Linked DNA regions of Rhinolophus ferrumequinum. The protein of the gene in region 1 binds, or shares a complex with, the protein of each later gene. Links are inferred from orthologs where the notes say so. Each region holds a gene or a part of one and is shown on either strand. Other genes may lie near its edges.

Region 1 (10,361 bases):
CTTTGGGTATATCAACCTTGGAGTCAACTAGGTGGTGTTCCAGCTTGGTCCAAAGCCTACCACTGGGCATGCCAGCTCCAGGGCCTCCTGGGAGGGGCCCTAAAGCAGGCCAAGTCTAGCCTGTGCCCTGCCTGAGGCCACCTGGCATGAGCCACAAAGAAATCTGCAGATGGTCAACACTTGTGCTGTGTTTGGTGGTGCCTGGAGAAGCCAAGCTACACACAGGCTGGCTGTTGCTAGTGCCGGGCCTGGTGGCTAATAGACAAGAGGTACAAGAAATGCAAAAACCATATGCTATTTGTTTGGGTTTTGTGCACCTTTGAGAGATTTTAGTAAAGTCTGCAGCATGAGCCAAGACAGCCTGTTTGTATGGAAAAGCCACTGGAAGCAGCTTGGGTAGGCCTGAAAGTTGGGTGTGGCAGAGTCTCAGGGAATTACCGGGATCGGACTAATCAACAGTGTTAGCCAGGTTGATAGAGACTCAGACATGGCGGCTGTCTGCGTCTGCACACTGGGAGTGGGGAGGGCTCAATGAAGACACAATGGCTTCTCCGAGCTCCTCAATCCAGGAGAAAGCTGTCCCTCCAGCTCTCACTCTGAAGCCAGACAATTCAGTCCCTCCCTGTATGTCCCTGGTGCCTTTTGAGATGCTGCCCTAGTGATGGAGCTCAGAGCAAGTGAGTCCATCAGCGAGTAAGTCTGCAAGAGCCCTTAAATGGGAGGACCTGAAACTCCACCCAAACTTGTCTCACTGAGCCACAATTTCTGCTGGTTTTCACAGCCAGAAGTTATAGGACTTCTCTTACTGGCACTGAAACCCCAGGCTGGGGATTCTGGTGTGGGGCTGGGGGGACCTCCACAGCTGAGATATCCCTCCCAATTTTTAATGGTCCCACGTGAGTGTTGCATCAGCCCATTCTGGTCTCTGCCCCACCTACCAGTCCCAAGGTGGCTTTTAATGTATGTCTGTAGTTGTAGGGTTTCAGTTCAGTTAGACTTCAAGGGATTCTCAGTATGGTTGTTCTGTAGTTTAGTTGTGATTTTTGATGTGGTCATGAGAGGAGGCAAGCACAGTGTTTTAAAGTACTCTATTTTGTAATGCAAAGAACTTTTCCTTTTTTGAAAGAAATAACAACTCGCCTTTATTCAACAATAAATTGTTAAACTTTGAAGCTTCTCTTTCTAATTTCCTTTGACTATTTTACATCCCTCTGGACATACCATTAGGATATCCAAAGAATGAAAATAAGGAAAGGTGAAAATTAAAGAATATAGTTAGAGATCCATAAACTCATCATAAATTATAAACCATATGAAATAACAGCCCCCCAAATGAGTGCCTTGCATATAGTAGAATTCAAATGTGATACAAGTTTTTGCTCCTATTTACAAATGAAATTTATACAAGATGTTAACTACTGGTGAATGTACAAATAAATTTATCAGTAAGATATTTTACATGTCATAAGTTGAAAAAAACAAAGCAAAACAAAAAGCAACCTTGTATCTGTGGTAGTATTTTGTCCATGATTGAAAGGCTAAGAATAATTTACATAAATGTCAAGCATGCACTGACAGACCATGAAAGCACAGGTTGGACTGCCTGTTTAGCCTGAAAAATTTCTAATACATTTTTAAAGTTGTGCCAAAGAGTTCTTGTGAATTCTTTTAAAGAGTTTGTAGACTGGGTTACATTCTTTTTTTTTTCCCACTGATGCTGGTGTAAAAAGAAAAAAATACATCAGAGAAACAAATATAAAAATTACTTAAGCCATAACCAGGAGAGCAAACCTTTTAATTAAATCCTTTAATTAAAGTAGACCGTAGCCTACTAGTAGAAGTAGCTGAACTATACTGCTTTTCTCAGACAGGAAAAAAGGAAGTGTGATCTTCCTGTTTCTCATAATATTCAGTAAGCAAAAAAAGAATGAATTATGCCTTATTTCTAGTTACTATAAGTCTATCAAATTTTCATGACTTTAGGGGCATGGGCTAGAACGAGGCACTATCACACAACCATCAGTGAAGTTTCAGATCCTAGATTCTCTCATTTATAATCACTCCTCTGATTTATGAATCATGTTTCAGTTGCAGAAGTTGATAATAAGTACAAAAAGTTGTCAAAGCAGAAATAATGTCATAATTAAACTTTTAATAGGAATAGTGTCCAAATTCAAAATAGTCGATTTTTGCTGTTATACTTTAGAAGGATAAATGCATTTTCATAAAAGCCTCATTAAGTATGCATCACAGGGATGTACACATTTGTCAGATTTCTTAAAATTGTGTACTTATGCCCTGTCCATTTACCTATATATAAATCATACCTTAATGTAAAAAGAATTTTAAAACATCCTTAATTGTAGGTTACAAAGAGCTACAGTCAAATAAGAGAAAAATCCAAGAAATAGAAATGCTCAGGCTGTTTTCTATTGATTTGTGCAGTCATTTTAAATCTTCTTTTCTTCAACCACTATTTGATCATTGGATCCGTTCCTAGGGGAATGTGTGGAGAAGCAATTGAACCAACTCTTTCTGTGTTTTTCACATACCTTGTCCCTCAGCATTCATGATTTAGAGAATGCAAGGTAGATTTTTGAAGGGTACATTCATATCAAGGGGACTACATAAAAGTATTAGCTTTTTTGTGGTTAAAGGGGCTTTTCTTTGTTCTCTTACCAGGGAAAAAAGTTTGCTTTGGGCGAGTTCCCCATGGCAAAGCTCTTTGAGGAATGAATTCTGAAGTGCATTCAACCATTCAACCATGTCTTCAGGACCACCTTCTAGTTAAAGCATTTTAAATGGATAGTGGGACATTGTCCTTCACCACCCTTTCTGTCTTTGATGGGTGATTTTAGCCAATCTGAGATTTTGATACACTTCCTAGGAAACTTCAAAAAGTGCCTTAATGAAAGTAATTTTGTAAAAGATTCCACATGTACTAAGTAAAAAAAAAATTCTTTATAAATGCTAACTACAAAATTAATTCAAACTCAAAAGTTTTCAGTGAAGGAGCATTCACATGTGATACAAGTTTTTGCTCCTATTTACAAATGAAATTTACACAAGATGTTAACTACTGGTGAATTTATAAATAAATTTATCAATAAGGAACTTTACAAGTCATAAGGTGAAAAAAAAGCAAAACAAAAAGCAACCTTGTATCTGTGGTAGTATTGTACAGGACATGAATAGAGAAAGCAAAAAAGAAGAATCATGTTCTCACTTTTCTGCTCTTCAGGGTCAGTTAGGTTGTCTGTCAGACTGCTGTGTTAGAGCAAGAAGTAACTTTAGAGATCATCTAATCATTTCCCTCCATTTTACAAATGGGGAACCTAAGACTGAATTTCTTGTGGCTTGATTAAGGTCATTCATGAGGATCAAATAATAAATCTTTCACATGGTTACCTTTACATTTTCAGTCAATTTAAGATGAAACTTCAAATAAATATTACCGATGTCTAAAACACTGCTCTCTCAAAATAAGAAAAAACTCTGTTCAGACTCTATGTATTTAAATTAATCAAGAGTACAGTCTGTGTAACCAGATAGTCTTGGATTCAAATCCTGGCTCCAAATCATAGTCCCACAACTAACTAGCCATGTGACCTTGAGTGAATTTTTGATACTATATTCCACTACCTGTAAAACCATGAAAAACAATTTCTAACTCAAAGACTGCTGTGAGGGAGTATATGAGACCCTGTAATGAGGTGCCTAATATAGATAGTAGGCCCTATAATAGGTAGCCAATAATTGTATTTTAAATTCCAGATGAGGAATGTGTATATTTACCTTAAAATTATTTGGTTTTGCTCTTGAGCCCTACAGCTAGAGTTACTAAAATATAATTAAATAACTTAAAATATAATTATCAGATCTATAAAAAATATTTCTTTGAGCTTAACTTGTGGCCCGTATTGTGATGGTACCAAAACAACACTCAGTTTTTCAGGATTGTACCTATCGTGAAAAAGAAATTCACATGAAATCAATAGAAACCCATAAAAGTCTCTATGTGATCAAGTGCTCAAAGATGTTTAACGGTGTTACAGTGCTATGAGAAAAAGGAAGAGGTAGATCTCAGTGAAGCTTAGAATAGACATCTAGGACTGAGTGGAAGAAAGATGAATGCAAGTGGTGATGAAGATGGAAGAGTGAATGGGAGAGAAAGTGGCCCTATCTGTAGGGTTTCTATGTATGGTGGGAAGAAGGCTTGTATATGAAGTCACGTCCAAAACTGAGCAAAATATTCATACTCCAAATGAATGTATGGAGCACCCATATCATTCCTCATTCACATAACACTGTATATTGTTACTTAGATCGGCTTTGAAGCAACTGAATGTTGACCTTGTTCTTACCCAGACAGGGAGGATAAGTGCTACGCTCAAAATAGCCAGATTTGGAATTAGCACTCACAACCCTAGGCCATATTTCACATTCCTTTCGCCTTACTCCTTAACATTGTTCTTTAGACAATATTTCACACTTAAAATTCACCTTTTAAAAATACAAATTGATTTTCCACTTCCACTTTCCCAAAAAGCATAGGAGTCAAAAATTCAAGTTTGTGTCCCATCTGTGCCATGAACGAGCTGTGAAGCCAGGAGTGAGCCACCTAGTCTCTACATGAGTTGAGTTGCTACATGAAATGGTTCTTTTTGGGTCAGAAATTTCACAGACCCAACAAGTTGACTGTAAGACAGCAGTCAACGTGCATCGCACAGGTTGAATTTCTGACTTCTGTTTTATAAAATCGTTGGGAAAAACTGTCAGCCTATTGTTTCTCTCTCTCCCATAAAAATTGAGTTAAAGGGTGGATAGGAAAAAGTTATTTTATGGCTCTGCCTGATAAACATCATCCTGAATTTGTACGGCAGCTTTCTGATTATTTTCCTGTCCCCTGTAGGTATCAGGTCTCTCAACAGGATAAAAATCCCTGAGGTGGCCTGACAATAACACTTCAGGCCATAGCACGGAAAGAGTACAGCAGCTGCTAGAGATGGTGAGGGAAGGACTGTAGTCCTCTCCTAGGGCAGTGAGGGGGCTTCAGAAGAAAGGGTTAGGCTCTTCCGTTTTGGGATGGATGTGGACTGGAAATTGAAGAACAAAATAAAAACAGAGCGAAGAGCAGCGCCCCCCAAACCAACCAGGTCTTAGATATCAAGCGGGATATTTAATGGAAAGAAAAGTCACAGACATGAAAAGTCCATGTTAACACGTTTAATAGAGAACCCAAATGCGTCACCGAGTGCGTAGAAACTTGTCCTCGTGTTAATAATTCAGATCTGTGACGAAGTGCCTCCCTCATATCTGGCTGAGAAGTGACTCTCCTCTCCAGCGGGCAGCTCCTGCTGATGCCGTCCAGGCGTCTCCCAGGAAGGAAAGGTTTCCGCGCAGTCGGAAGGCGCGGGAGGAGTCTGGCGGTGATTGATAGGGAAGGGACGAATGAATATAAGTACTTATCTAGGAACAGCAGAGACTGGGAGTAAGCTGCAGGGGCTACACGGTCTGGCATTCCCTCCGCGTTTCGTCAGAGCCAGACCCGCCTGCAGCTGAAGGGAGGTGCGCTCTGCTCCCGGCGCTGGACAGACCGAGCTGTGCGAGCCCAGCACTTCCCGAGAAGGAAGTCCTCGCTGGTCGCTCCGCGCCTGGTGCGTCCCATTCGCGAGGTAAACATTCTGGCTTAGCGTTGAATTAAAATCAGTGATTGAACCTTGTCCTGGGGTTTAAGCTTGGATTACTAGTTTGGGATATCTATATCTATAGATATAGATATCCCAAATTATATGTATTCCCCCAAAATAATAGTATATAATATACATATATTACAAACACAGCGAGTTGAAGTTGCAGTAAAGGAGGGCGTTTGGAAGGGACAGAAGCTTCGGAATTAATGCTGATAGTCTTCCGAAGTCGAACGGAGTTAAGAAGCCAGATTTTCCGAGCCAGCCGGCGCACTCCTGCTGGCGCCTAGGCACCTGAGCGCAGGCAGCCGGAGAGCAGCGGCTTTCACCCACCAGGAGTCTTGGCGTTCAGAGACGCGGTATCGGAGTTCCCCGCGGAGCCAAATGCAGAAATGGGCTCATGCCCTTGGCCTCCGGATGCCTTGATTTCCCCAGTCCCCACGCGTCCTTAGCCAGAATGTACATGCTTACTCAGGGCACGTCAAGAAGCCCGAGAGTTTTGCCTTGGATACCCACCCTTTCTCCACCCCCCCCACAGCACTCCTTCCAGAGCGCCCCGCCCCACTGCGAGTTATTTACCATCAGGGGTGGGGGGGGAGGGCGGGAGGAGGACGCAGGGGAGAAAAACCACTGGGAAATCTGGTTCAGGAAGGACAGTCGACGGGCGCAGGCAGGTCGCACACGCCAGTTTCCCACTGGCGCCCAAACTAGAGTTACTTTTGCGCGCAGAGAAACGGCGCCTCTGCACTCGGCGTTAGCGGCTTGCAGGGGCGTGACTGGGATAGCTGACCCCAGTGTCCTGTCTTCCTTCCCCTGCTGGTTTTTCAGACTCTGAAAGCAGCGGAGCGGCCAGCCAACGCTCACTGGAGCAGGCAGCAGCATGCGGCTGCTGCCAAGCCTGTGCGGACGCGCCCTGGTGGCGCTGATCCTTGCCTGCAGCGTGGCGGATGTCCAGGGAGAAGAGACGGGATTCCCGCCGACTGGGGCCACTCCGCTCCTTTTGGGGACCAGAGAGATAATGACGCCCCCCACTAAGGCCTCCTGGCTGAGGGGGTCCAACGCCAGCGTGACGGGGTCGTCCGCACCGCCGCAGATGCCTGAAACAGGGAAGCCGGGGGGAACCCCTGCACGTATCCCTCCCCCGTGCCATGGATACATCGAGATCAGACAGTCTTTCAAGTATATCAACACGGTGGTGTCCTGCCTAGTGTTCGTGGTGGGGGTCATCGGAAACGCCACCCTGCTGAAGATCATTTGCAAGAACAAGAGCATGCGAAACGGCCCTAACATCTTGATCGCCAGCCTGGCCCTCGGAGACCTGCTGCACATCCTCCTGGACATCCCCGTCCATGTGTACAAGGTAAAGGGCGGCCGCTAATATCAGGATGGGGGCCCACAGGTTAGAGAGGGCGAGGGGGAGCCTTCGGAGGGACTTCGCCCCAGGAGATCCATCCCCTCCTGAAGGCCAGTACCCATCGGAACCACGTTCCCTTCTGGTCTTCAGTACCCACTGCTAAGTAAGCCTGCAACAAGTATCGTCTCCAGGCCGGTGCATCAACATCACCAGGGAATGTGTTAGAAATGACACTGTGTGGCCTCAGACCTAATCTGGGTGGGGCACTTTTTTTTTTTCCCCATTTTAAAAGCCCTTCATGTGATTATGATGAACTGTAAAGTTTGAGAATCACTAATCCTGAAGGATCTTGTTCCTAAGTGTCCAGCTCACTGAGTACATTCTCTCTCCTCTAAGGTTTGGTCCAAGGACTGGCAGTCTTGAGAGCCTGTTAGAACTCCAAGTCCACCCCAGACTTGCTAAATCAAACCTGCATCTTAAGATACCGAGGTGATTTGTACGCACCCTAACCTTGGGAAGAGTTTTCTTGAGGACCCTGAAAGTAGAGGGGCTGGAATCCATTTTTAGGAAATGGTCTAGGAGAAAGAGACCCAGACAGTTCCCCTGCTGCGAATGACTACACTGTTTTTACTTTTTATTGGATGCCCACAATGAGCCAAGCACTGGGATAGATGTGTCACTCTCCTTTACTCCTTCTCACAACGAGTAAATGTCACTTTGTGTTAGGATGTTCACGGTTTCACAATGAGTAAGAGATGGAGGTGGGAATCAGGCTAATCTGCCAGGTTCCAAAGTGCTGGCTGCACCGCGTAGATTACTTCATGGACAAGACCAAGAGAATAAAACTTAAAATCTATAAAGAATGGTTTTAGTAGCTAACATTATTGTGTGATCACAACTGGCATCAGAGGGAACAGGTGTGGACAGCAAGAGCAGGACATAAACTCCCATGTTATGTGACTCCAGGTTGCTTTGGAACTCTGGACACATCCCAACGTCTCTGGGCTTCAGTTTCCTCAGCTCTGCTAAGGCTGCTAGTGTCCACTTACTAGGGTTTTGTGGTGTTAAGAAAAATAGTGAAAGAACTGGAAGCTGTTAAAGGACTGTTGCAAATGTGTAAAACTCTGCTTCCCCATCATGAGCAACAATAAAAAATTACCTATAAAACAGAACCAAAGTGTAAGGGAACGGGAACGTGTTTCACAGATTTTCTTAAAGCTAGTCCTGGATTTGGTACAGGAAAAAAAAAAGGGGGTGGTTGTAGGGTTGGGAAAGGCTTTTAGTGTATATTTAAATCTCTGTGGCAGGAGAAGTTATAAGGAATGCTTTACATTACCCTTCATGAATCTAACCCAGATAGCAATATTTTAAGGGAAATCTAGATATTTCTGAGGTTAGGAGAAGATAGGATTTGAATTAGGATTCAGGCCCTAAAAGGAAATACTCCCATAAATGAAGGATAAATAAAAGAAATTCTAAAATCCTGCATAACAACTCGTTCTTATGAACTCTGAGGGTTACTGAGAGAAGCACAGACTGAAATGGGTCCCTTAAACGCAGTCACAGTTCCATTTTGGCCAGATGTGACCCGTTTACTTTTCAAGGAGTCACATAGATCAAGTTTTACCCCCTCAATTTCGTAGAGGAATTTCAATTCAATTCATCAAAACTGACTTGAGAACCTTTAGAGTACAAGGTTTTGTGAGAAATTTTAAAAGAAGTGAAATACTATCCCTCTCAAAAGGGAAGTTACATCTAGTTTTGCTAGGCTTGAACAGAATTTTGTGAAAGGTCTGTTTAGGGAGGTCCCAGGAAGCCCCACACTTCCAGCCCAGGTAGAGACCTTCCTAAGTCAGCCAGCACCTGAAGGAGCTGAGAAGGTATGGAAGGTGGAGCTGAGAACATTTTTCCTTTGGTATATTGATTCAGGCAAGATGTAAATCAGCCCTTCCAGGGCCATTCGACTTTCTCGATCGGGTCAAATTATTACACTCATTTAGTCAAAATATTTGACTCCCAAGGGGGAATACAGTTTTTATTTTCATTTCAAATTTCTTTATGATTTCCTAGGAAGTTACATCCTTTGCCTGAAGCCATTTAGTCTGTTAAAACTGTGTTTTTACTTCTGACATAAACAAACTAATGCGTCATTACAAATCAGGACATCTAGTCTTGTATATTGGTCATTAAAAATCCATCACAAAGAATTAGGTCCCATCTCTAGGTTGACCATCATGGGACCCTACATGGTAGCCTTTGGTTGATTTTTATAATATGCGTAAATAGGTGTCACTTGAGGCATAATGTAACAGTAATGGCGACTATTTATTATGGTACTTGATTTATTTATTAAAGCCCTGCCACAAACCTTATGGAGGAGGTATTGTTATCACCCCCCCTTATATGGGGAAACTGCATCTTGGAGAGGTGAAGAAGTAACTTGCCCAACGTCACACCCTAGAAAGTAATGAAACTAGGTTGGAACCCAGGCCATCTGGGCCTAGAACCTGTGATCCTCCCCTTCCCCCTGCACTGAGCAAGCTCAGGCACAGCACACCTTTCTCCAACCTGGAGTATTGTTAGGGCCCCATTGGAGTGTGTTGGTGGCATTAAGTGATACACTGTCACACGGTAGGATACTTGGTAAGTGTTTTCGGTTTTAATTTCAGTCATCTGAAGTCATCTTTCTATCTGCTGAAATCCCCTTCAGATGGTGGTAGTGCGTAGTATTGATAGTATTGATCACAGCGTTGTTTGTTATTCTAAAGGCTTTATTTTCCAAAACACCTAATCTAGGACTAGATAAAAGCTATTTATTCCCCTAAATAATTATGACACCATATAAGTAAGTTTCTAAAAATGCACTTATCATTTCAGAGTAATCAGGTATTATACTTCACAGAAAGTAATTTAAGTGAATTATGAATGCCATTTAAATTTATCCTAAAGTGGAAGACTTGAATCTCTAAACCAGTGATTTCTAATTTTCTTTTTGTGGGATGTTACAATTCTCTTTGAGAATCAAGTTAATTATTTGTATTGTATATAATTAGTACATTATATATAATTTATGTAACTATAATTAATATATAATACACACACTCGTGTGTGTGTATGTGCGTGTGTGTGCGTGTGTATATACATTTACAATTTCTGGGGGTTCATAGAATCCTCCAACCCATCTGTTGGCACACCCAAGGGCCGAGAGACATCAATGTAAATTTATTACATTAATTTGGAGTTCAGTAAATGTGGAGTTTAATAAAATTGACAAACCGCAAAATGTCATAGAATCTTGCTGGAAGCCATAGTCTTTG
Region 2 (9,319 bases), on another chromosome or scaffold:
ATTATCAAAAGAGAGGAACAAAACATATTAGCGTAATTTATAGTCAAAATGATGCATTCTGTAGGGCAAACTCATTCCATTTGGACACAAGGAGCTCACCACGTGGTGTTTGGTAGAGAAATTTAGGGGAATGAAGTATGGCACGTCAGGGTCACATGCCTGTCAAGGGCCCTGAGTGTGTCTACCCAACCAGAAGAAACCAGTTTTTTTTTAACTCAATGAAATTCCATTGAATTCCAACTCTTAACAACGTTTAATTTCTTCTCGACACAAGCTGCATTATTTTTTGTCCAAAATTATGACATCTCTGCTTTGGTATCTGTTTCATATTTTCTTCCTTGTCTAACATTCTATTTAGTTAACAACTATGGGAGGAAAGAAAAGGGGGATTTCAAAACCATTCAAAACCACGATTGACGAGATTTTGAAAACCTATTTTCAATTCAAGCCACATGATAATGCTGTACGTGCCCCTGAGGGGGCAGAAGGAGACATACTACTCCCAAGTTTGAACATCTTGGGCAATCTGGTGGTATGACTATAGAAGGACTCTGTGCCAGGATGCTCCCAGTAATTTCCAATGTGCCCGATTTGATTCTCACCTAAGAAAAAAAGTTCGCCCCTTGGGAGAATCACCTTACTAAGTATTGGGCTCATAGTGGGCTGGGTTTGGTTTGATTTGATTTTGTTCGGATTTTGGTCATCCCTCACCATACTGGGACACTGTAGGCACAATAAACATGTTTTTGTTTGTGATGCTGATGGGGGAGCTAGCTTCCAGGGTGAAGGGGGAGAAAGTGCTTTCCTCACTCTAGACGCAGGAGAGAAATCTACAGGCCATATTTCTATCATGTCTTGAAATGAGCTTTTCTAAGGGGAAAGTCCAGAGGGGTCAGAACATCCAGGTTCTAGGTCTAGCGTAGTCACCAACTCATTGTTGGGCAAGTGACTTCAACATTTTGGGTCTTAGTTTTTCTATAAGTAAAATGAGGGATTGGATTATAAATCTCTATAATTGCTTCTGCCTCGTAAGTCTCTACCATCCCCTGAGAAGTCATATGACCTCGGCACCTCAGTCCCTAAACCCAGACAGATCCCACTGAGAAAACATTCCCCCAACGCCCCACACTTAGCTTCTCCTCAGAAATGGGTGGCAGCCTCCTGCTAGCCAGCAGCTCTTTCCATCTGTCCTGTCATGTGAGATCTGAGCTACCGCTCTCAGAAGACCCTCTCCTGTGTTGCTAAGAAGCAAGTTATCCTGTTCTTTTCAGGAATGGAGGGGCACTGTCCCCACCCAATGAGGCACTTCCATGTTGTCAGAAAGGCTACCTTCAGCATCCAAACCAGGAGCTTCCCCGAAAAGGAGCTAGAGTGACTAAGGTCCATTCTCTGGTGACGCCAGAGCAAACAGATGACTAGAGTGACGATGCCCTCTAGAGACTCACTCGGGAGTGTTGACCCAGATAATGTCCAGATGGCAGAAGTAGACACACTCTTTATCCATCAAGGAAGAGCAGGAGCAGCGCTTGGAGCGGCGGCGGGGCCGCCAGGGTGCACTGGGAGACGGCTTCTCTCCTCCGCTGTCCGCCCCGGTGCTGAGCTCGGCGCCCAAGACGGCTGCGGAGAGAAAGAGCAGGTCAGCGGGGATGTCTCCTCAGAGATGCTGCATCACGTGACTGACGCCCGATCTAGCAGAGCAGGTAAAAGCGGATGAAGCGCACAACCTGCCTTCAGCAAGCCACACAGAGGAAAAGGGCTCTTTACTTGTTTCCCTGCTTAACACGGCTTCACCTCTACCCCTACTGCCTTATCCACCTTCAGAGAGATTATACAAGCGTGGGGGGAACAACCGCTTGGAAAGGGCCTCACCAGCCCCCTGAAGCAGCCTTCCAAGCGGCCGGTTAGAAATCTGGGTTGGCTTCGGCATGGAACTTAGTAAGACAGCAGAACCGTCAGTGGCTTAAAATTGGCCAATGACCACAAATCTAAAATTAAGTAAATCACACTGCATCCTCCTAGGTTGGCAGCCACCTCCCTGTGCAGCATATGCCCTTCCCGTGAGGGGAGCACCCTCTTCACGCCATGTGTAGGGCAGGGAGTAGCCCAGATAATATATACCCGATGAAATTAGGCGGAGGTCAAAAACTTTAGGGAGATCATTGGAGGGAAAGATGAGAAATCAGCTTTACAATATTCATCCCAGGAGGTCAGCTCCACAGAAACCACTGAGCTAAGGTGAAGCTGAGGAGCAGCTCGGGGACCTCGGCAAGGTTCTGTGGGTGTAGAATTCAGAAGCCCCGGCCGGCACAGCCTGGCATCTGTGGGATCACCTCCTCCCCCACCCCGCTGTAGCACAGGCAAGTTAGCCAAGCAGCTTATCTGCCCAATTTTGTACATTTCAAATGATCAGACACATTCCAGGATTTTCATTCCCTTGACATCCTTTCTCTTTAGTCAGGGTCACGAAAAGACAAAAACAGTGCATTGACCCTAGAAGGGGGACCTGGGCAGATGCACATGTCCTATCTAAATCCTTAAGCAGCCAAGATTTACCCCAGCTCCCCTCCCAGGACAGGTGAATAAAACTGTAAATAGAGCTCACACTGTTTTGGGTGCCAAAAATCTGCCAAAAGAAACCTAAAGTCAATAATGACAAATTTTTAAAGAAAACATCTGCTTCACCCTGAAACCGCCTGAGGGGGTTATTCAACAGACTGTTCTGCAGGTGATTTTACTGCTCATATATTGCTTGAATGACTTGAATAAAATTCCTTGGCTTCAAGCTGAAATGTTTAAATATTTTACACATTAACACATTATTAAAACGGTATTTGAATGAGATATACATTCTTATATGTCCTAATACCTGTATGAACACATATATTGCAAATATACATTTGGCTAAATTAATCTTGCCTTTACGTTTCTTGAGTTGCATTGTTAAAAGCCGAGGAAATACTGTATGCACTAACGACAATGTTATTTTAATGCTATAGGAGCCATTGTATTCAATAGAGGAATTTTTTCCCAGTAGAAAACTTAAGTAGCTTTGAGCGATAATTCCCAGACACTTGATATCTGAGCTGCAGTAGTAAAAGGAAGGGAAAAAAACAGAAGCAAGAAAAGCATTAAAGTGGATAAGAAGACATTAACATTCAGATATTTACAAGTCAACGTGCCTACCTGTTTCTGGAGCTCCCTGGAAAGCCACAAACAGCAGAGAGAAAATCATGGGGAAATAATCCATTCTGTAAAAGGGATCAAAATTCCTCCGCTGCAAACTAAACCCGAAGGAAAAAAAAAAAACGAAGAAAAGCAGCTTCAGTTCCCTCAAAGCGCTTCTAGTTACTCTGATCTCAAAGTGATCCTTCAGTCTAAGTGCTCCTTAATGGGGAGAAAAAGAAGTTTCTGCCAGGAGAGAAGGCAGTGGGAGCCGTCTGAAGACGCACGCGGCGGGTGGCTTGCGATGCGGGGACACCAGCGGAGACCCGAGGACCTTCGCAGCACTTGCCCCAGCGCAGATGCAGAAGCGCGTCTGGCTTGGACAGCTCTCCGCCGGCTTTTTATATTGAACCCCTATAGAGTGGGGGTAAACAGCTCCAACTTTATTCCAGCCCCAGACAATGTTATTGTGTTATTAGTCACCAACAGGCAACGTGCAGCCGGAGATAAGGCCAGGCTCTAAAGGAAATCACTGCTAACTTCAGAGGCAGACGCCCGCCGTCTGACAATTCAGGGGCAGGGCTAAGAAAAAGAAAATACCCATTGGAGACCTTTGGTAAACCTGCCCGTGCGGCGCTGGAGTCTGCTTCCCCTTTGCAAGTTGCCAGCCCCAGAGTTCAAGAATCAGAACAGGGACTCCAGAAAAGTCATACCATTGGTATGAAAAGTATGAGCTACAGTTTAAATAGATTGTATTGTGTGCGGGGATTTTTTTTTTTAATTGTTGTTCACTTCATTTTCCTTTTATGTCTCTGATTTCTCAGTGTTGATCAAACAAGAGAATGTTTCCCCTCTTCACTCTCCCCTACTCGGGGTCAAATTATTTTGGCAGATTAACGTGCTTTCCCCTTGTTCCAAGCCCCCTCCCCTAAGTTTTTTTTTTTTTTTGCTGAAGTTTTTTGCTTCCACGGTGAAAAAGATCGGTGAGAGAATGGCAAGGAAATGAAGTTTATTCAAACAGAAAAATTAGAGCCCTTTCAGGCACATACCCAATCCTTTCAGTATTACTGATTAGAACCCCCCTCCCCAAGGATTTTTCTGTGTCCACCCTCTTCCCCTGCCCAGAACGCCCCAGGTTCAACAGCACCAATCTTAAGAAATAGCGGGAGAGGAACGCCAGGGGGCGACCAAGAGCTACAGGGGCTGATGTTTTCTGAGGACAAAACGTAAAGGCCCTGGCTTCCAACCGAAGGAAATGCAACCTGAAGTGGGATCTGACAAAGGGCGAGGAATAGCTCCTAACATAAGATAGGGGGATGTCCCCTACACAGGGACATATTTTCTGGGTTTTATGCTTTGCTTTCTTCGTTTAGGACAAAGGGTGTTCTTGTATAGGGTTAGTTGAATATGCAATGAGGTGTTGGGAAGGAGAAAATGGCCATGCTGAATAAGGGGATCACCTAATACCTCACATTTACTAATGTGTTTACATTTCCAAAGCAATTTCCTGTCTATTTAACCTTGAAATATCCCCTGAGGTACCCACAGGGCAGTTACTGCGGAGGTGACAACTTGCTGTAATGTACAAAGCAAAACATAAATGTAAGACATTGGTATTTTCAGTTAGGCTCATTTTTCAAGAGACAAAACTGAAGCACCAGTTTCCATGCTCCCCCAAATTTCTCACAGTGCTCTGAGTAAGGCCTATGGAATAAGTTTAGAACATCTGCACACAAGAAAAAGATGACTCTGCATCTAGCGTGTAGGGACTCCATCAAACAGGGGCTTCCTCCACATCTTCATCTTGTTTTACCCCAACTTCCTCCCCTGTGGAAGCGGGGAGTGGGGCATATTCAAATGTAGACCCATGTCCAATACTCAAGAGGATGCCATGAACCGTGTCTTCCTCCTTCTCCTCTAGAATCGAAAGGAGAGATTTTTGTCCCAACACCAAAACTGTGGGCCTGAGCACAGTTGGGCCCCCTGGATCTCCCTAGAAGTCACCACAGTTTGGGAGACAGTAACAGTAGCAGTGTCATTTCCATAATGAGATCTGTCTCCTAAAGTGTCCCAGTGCACAAGAGCTAGAGATGGGAGCGAGGCAGGGTCCCGCCCTCCCACACTCTCATCCAGAGAGGCCTCCACCCAACCCGAGGAGCCTCTGCCTGGGCCCTCTGCTCCCTCCCTTTGCTTACCTCGCCCAGCCCTAGGTGCTGGGGAGGGCATAGCTCCCTCTAGAACTGGGTGGCACCAAGCAGGAAGTCAACTCTGGCCCCCTCAGCTCTGGCCAGTGCATCCCAACCTCTTCCCCCCCAGAAAACCACAATAACAGCAGAGGAAGCTGATGTCATATTCACAAGATCCAAGCTTTCCTCAGCAAGGGAAAGGTGGTGAGGGAATTGTGTCTTGCCAGGGCTACCCCAACACACACCTTTGACACCTTTGACAGAACACTGGCCACGGTCAGGACCAACCTGTCCTAAGCTCCTCCCTGGAAACCACCGCCCTTACCCTCCCAGTCTCCCCGGGGCCAGTCTGAACTACCCTCCAGCAAGGAAGCCAGTCTCTGCACAGCCACCCCCACCTTGGTAGGCTGCCCTTGCTGGTGCCAGCAGCACCCAACGATTAGGTAGGGAAGTGAAGCAAAATGAAACTGCCCACACGCCTTCCCACAGCCCTCCCTCCTCTCTTCTGTCTGTCTTCTTGTGAATGTATTTTAATTATAAATACAAGAAGTGGGTGGCAATGATCTGCCCTGCACCTCTCACCTAGGGCCTTCTAGGGCTCTGCTAAAGTTAATGCACAGGGTTTCAGACTTGGGAGGGTCCCATCGTTCCAAGTACAATCTTGGCCCATCCTTTTGAATCCTGAGTTTCTAAGATGCATACCGGCATGTATGTGTGTGTACTTCTACCTCTCTTCCTTTGTGTGTCATGGGAGAATGGTGGTATCTGCCTTCTCCGTCCATCGCTCCATCTTGGCCTCTTGCAGCAGCACTTTTTTCTTACTCTAGAAGGAAGGGGAAGTCCCTTTCAAGCCCAGAGAATTCAGTTATGGCACTGCCAGGCAGCTACCCAGCAAAAAAGTTTTCCAAGGAGCAAGAGGGGGAGGGAGAAAGAACCTTAACAAACCAGTTTTACAAGCTAGATGCCCCCACCTCTCCTCCACTTGAAGCATTGCTAGAGAGGGAGGTAGGAAAGGAGGAGGTTGAAAGAGCTGGACACAGTCGTGAGTGTGGAGACCCCACCTCCGTCCACAGCCCCCCACTCCGCCCCTCCAAAGTTTAGGAGGGGAAAGGCTCTTTGTCGCCACACTCCTCCTCAGAGAGGAAAGGGAAGGGAGAGAAGAGGTGAAGAAGATGGCTTCTCCCCGCCCAACAGAACAGTTTGTTGTTGCTGTTCTTGCTTTTGTTGTAACACTTGAATACTAGAAACCAGTTGATAAACGTATTTTTAATGTGTTTCTTTCTGTATCTTTTGCTGTGTATTAATAGATATCTATAAATAAAACACCCTGAGCCCCAAATACAGATACTACACAGTAGCAAAGTGTACTGTTTTTAGCACTCTTCAGCTTTGCTCTTTCTCAACTTTTGCGTAATAAGGTTTGCAACTTTGCCAAGCCAATAAATCTGGTGTGAGATGTTACATTTAGCTCAGCAAAAAGAACAGCCGTTAGGTTGCTTGACACCAGCACAAAGAATGGGGAACTAGTTTATTGCAGGCACTGGGAAGCTATCCATGCCGGGTTCATTGGTGCACTGCTGACTATTTCACGTTGCTACTTTGCATAGGGCCGTTGTGAAAGATTGTGCACTAAGACATTACTCCATGATACATTACACACCTCCACCAGCCGTGAACCACTGCAGCTTCTTCCCACAGTCCAAAATTTAATGGTTGATTTTGCACAGGAATAGGATAATGCTCAGGAGGGATTCATCCCATGCATTTTAAAAACATATACCGTATGCAACTCCACTTCCTTGACACTTTCATCCATACAACAACAGAGAGCAAGTGTTTCGTTTAAAAGAATATGCCTCAGTTTTTTAATTTAGCATTTCCCAGTCATTCATAAACCTCTTTCACAGCTTTTGCCATATTTGTGGGCCACCCATACATTTTTACTGAATACTTTTCCATCCAACTAACTGATCTAGTTCTTTATTTGAATACTTTTAAGGAACTAACTGACTTAGTTCTTTATTTGAATAATTTTAAGGAAATTTACTGTCATTACTATCCTAAGCAATAATGTACATGAAATCATGCTTTGTATGGTTAAGTAATATACATATTTATTTATATGGTTAAATGATGTACAGAAATCATAGTTTAATACATGTTAAATTAAACATAATCATTGTGTATTTATTAAGCTATTATTGGAAATAAAAACTATTCAACCATGTACCTTATAAACACAAGCATGCTTACCACTCTCAGGGAACACAGTTCTTTCCACTGCAATGTCTTATACTTATTATGTTAAGAATTAAGCTCTGGTTTAATTCTACTCTCTGACTTCTACTTTCTAAGATAAACTCAAAATATTCCACATCAAACTCTCGCAAGGATGCATGCACTTCAAAGAAACGTGAGTTCCAGGATCTGAAAACACAAAGAGTTTATATAACCCAAAAGTTCCTAGTTGGTACTTCCCCGTGGCTCTCCCTTCAATATTTTGGCTGTTGTCCTTTATGATATTTTCAACCCTCTATCCTGAATTTAAATGTCCTTTTAAGTGTTTTTACTGATATACACACACACACACACATATCTGAACCTGTAGATTGGGATAGGAGAGTGATTGTAATATGTCACACCTCAGAGAGAGACTAGAAAAATGTGATGGCAATGGATGCCTCCCCCTATTTTTATTTTTAATTTTAATTCCGTGTCATTTATGACATGTGGAGCTAAAGGGATTCTAACGCCAGGGTAGAACAGCACGTGAGGGTGAGTGGACTACGGTCAAGTCATTTCATTAAACCTGATTTACGTAAACGTTCTAGACACGTGTTTGAAAATAAACTCATTCTGGAGGGCAGGTGCCTTACAAATACGATACCTGCCTTCACGTTTTCTTAAGCAAGTTGCATGTGTGTGGCAATCCGTAGGCTGACTCTGGTTTTAAGTCGACTGCAATCAAAATCCTTTTCATGACTCCATTTAATTCTGATTGTGAATTTCTTTTCTGTTTTTCAGAGTTTCTTGTAGAATGGTGGTTACCAAGGGTTGAGGGTTGGGAGTGAGGGAAATGAGGAGATGCTGGTTAAAATTCCAGTTAGAAGATGAATAAATTCTGGGGATCTTACACACAGCATTGTCAAGAGTACTGTGTTATATACTTGAAAGTTGCTAGGAGTGCATCTTAAATGTTCTCACACAAAAAAGAAATGGTAATTATGTGATATGATAGAGATTTAGCTAATGTTGCAGTTTGTAAATGTATGTTGCAATATGTAAACGTATCAAATCGATACGTTGAACACGTATCAAATCGATACGTTAAACTTACACAATGTCATCTGTCAATTATATCTCAATAGAGTTGAAAACAAAAGTTTCTTTCCCACCTCATATATAACGGCAAAAAAATAATCCAAAAGTCTTAGCTCTTTCCTAACTTCTGTGTAATAAAAGGCCTTTGGTTTCCTGCTGAATTTTTATAAGATACCCTAGGAAAGAAGCAAGAAAATTATTCATTTGCAATTCGCTTTCACATTAGAAATCTGAAACCAGAAAGCTTCTATTATTCAATTTCTCTAATTTCATGTGCATATATGTGTATTGAGCCCCCACTGGGTATAAAAGTAATTTTAGGTACTTTCTGTGTTCCGTTGTCAAAGTAAGGTGGACTTATAGTCACAAGTCAATAGACTGACATGGAATTAATAAAAGCCACACGGGAAAAGCAACACAGGGTGAGGCGGGAGGAAAATCATTAAAGTGGGAAACTCTTAGGTACCTACAAAGAAGCAAGGGCTATGATGATATGAGGTACTAATTGATTCAAAAAATCATCTTGCAATGAAAGAGGGTGAATGGAGTTTTAAAGGATGGCAGGAAATGTCTTCAAAGATGAGAGGAATTAAGAGCTGTGCCAAAGAACAGGAAATGGCTACGAGGGGCAGGAAATTTTAATGAGACAT

What was found. Proteins that work in one complex are often made in the same cells at the same time.
Region 2: the proteins of EDNRB (region 1) and EDN1 are in contact, whole or in part, in a cryo-EM structure (PDB 8XWP), measured with the Homo sapiens proteins. The link is inferred for Rhinolophus ferrumequinum from reciprocal best matches to the Homo sapiens genes EDNRB and EDN1. Residues at the interface, in NP_000106.1 of Homo sapiens: Pro88, Pro89, Ile94, Glu95, Ile157, Asn158, Lys161, Glu165, Asp166, Trp167, Val177, Pro178, Gln181, Lys182, Val185, Phe240, Ile243, Met245, Tyr247, Leu252, Ile254, Leu256, Leu257, His258, Pro259, Lys270, Lys273, Leu277, Trp336, Leu339; in NP_001403492.1 of Homo sapiens: Cys53, Ser54, Cys55, Ser56, Ser57, Leu58, Glu62, Cys63, Val64, Tyr65, Phe66, Cys67, His68, Leu69, Asp70, Ile71, Ile72, Trp73.

The regions. Positions count from the first base shown.
Region 1 is NC_046287.1:28,619,129-28,629,489, reverse strand, and holds the start of EDNRB (endothelin receptor type B), read left to right. Parts: upstream 1-6,525; 5' UTR 6,526-6,570; coding exon 6,571-7,050; intron 7,051-10,361. UniProt on the Homo sapiens protein: Non-specific receptor for endothelin 1, 2, and 3. Mediates its action by association with G proteins that activate a phosphatidylinositol-calcium second messenger system.
Region 2 is NC_046292.1:81,922,587-81,931,905, forward strand, and holds the start of EDN1 (endothelin-1), read right to left. Parts: upstream 3,712-9,319; 5' UTR 3,248-3,711; coding exon 3,184-3,247; intron 1,618-3,183; coding exon 1,446-1,617; intron 1-1,445. UniProt on the Homo sapiens protein: Endothelins are endothelium-derived vasoconstrictor peptides. Probable ligand for G-protein coupled receptors EDNRA and EDNRB which activates PTK2B, BCAR1, BCAR3 and, GTPases RAP1 and RHOA cascade in glomerular mesangial cells.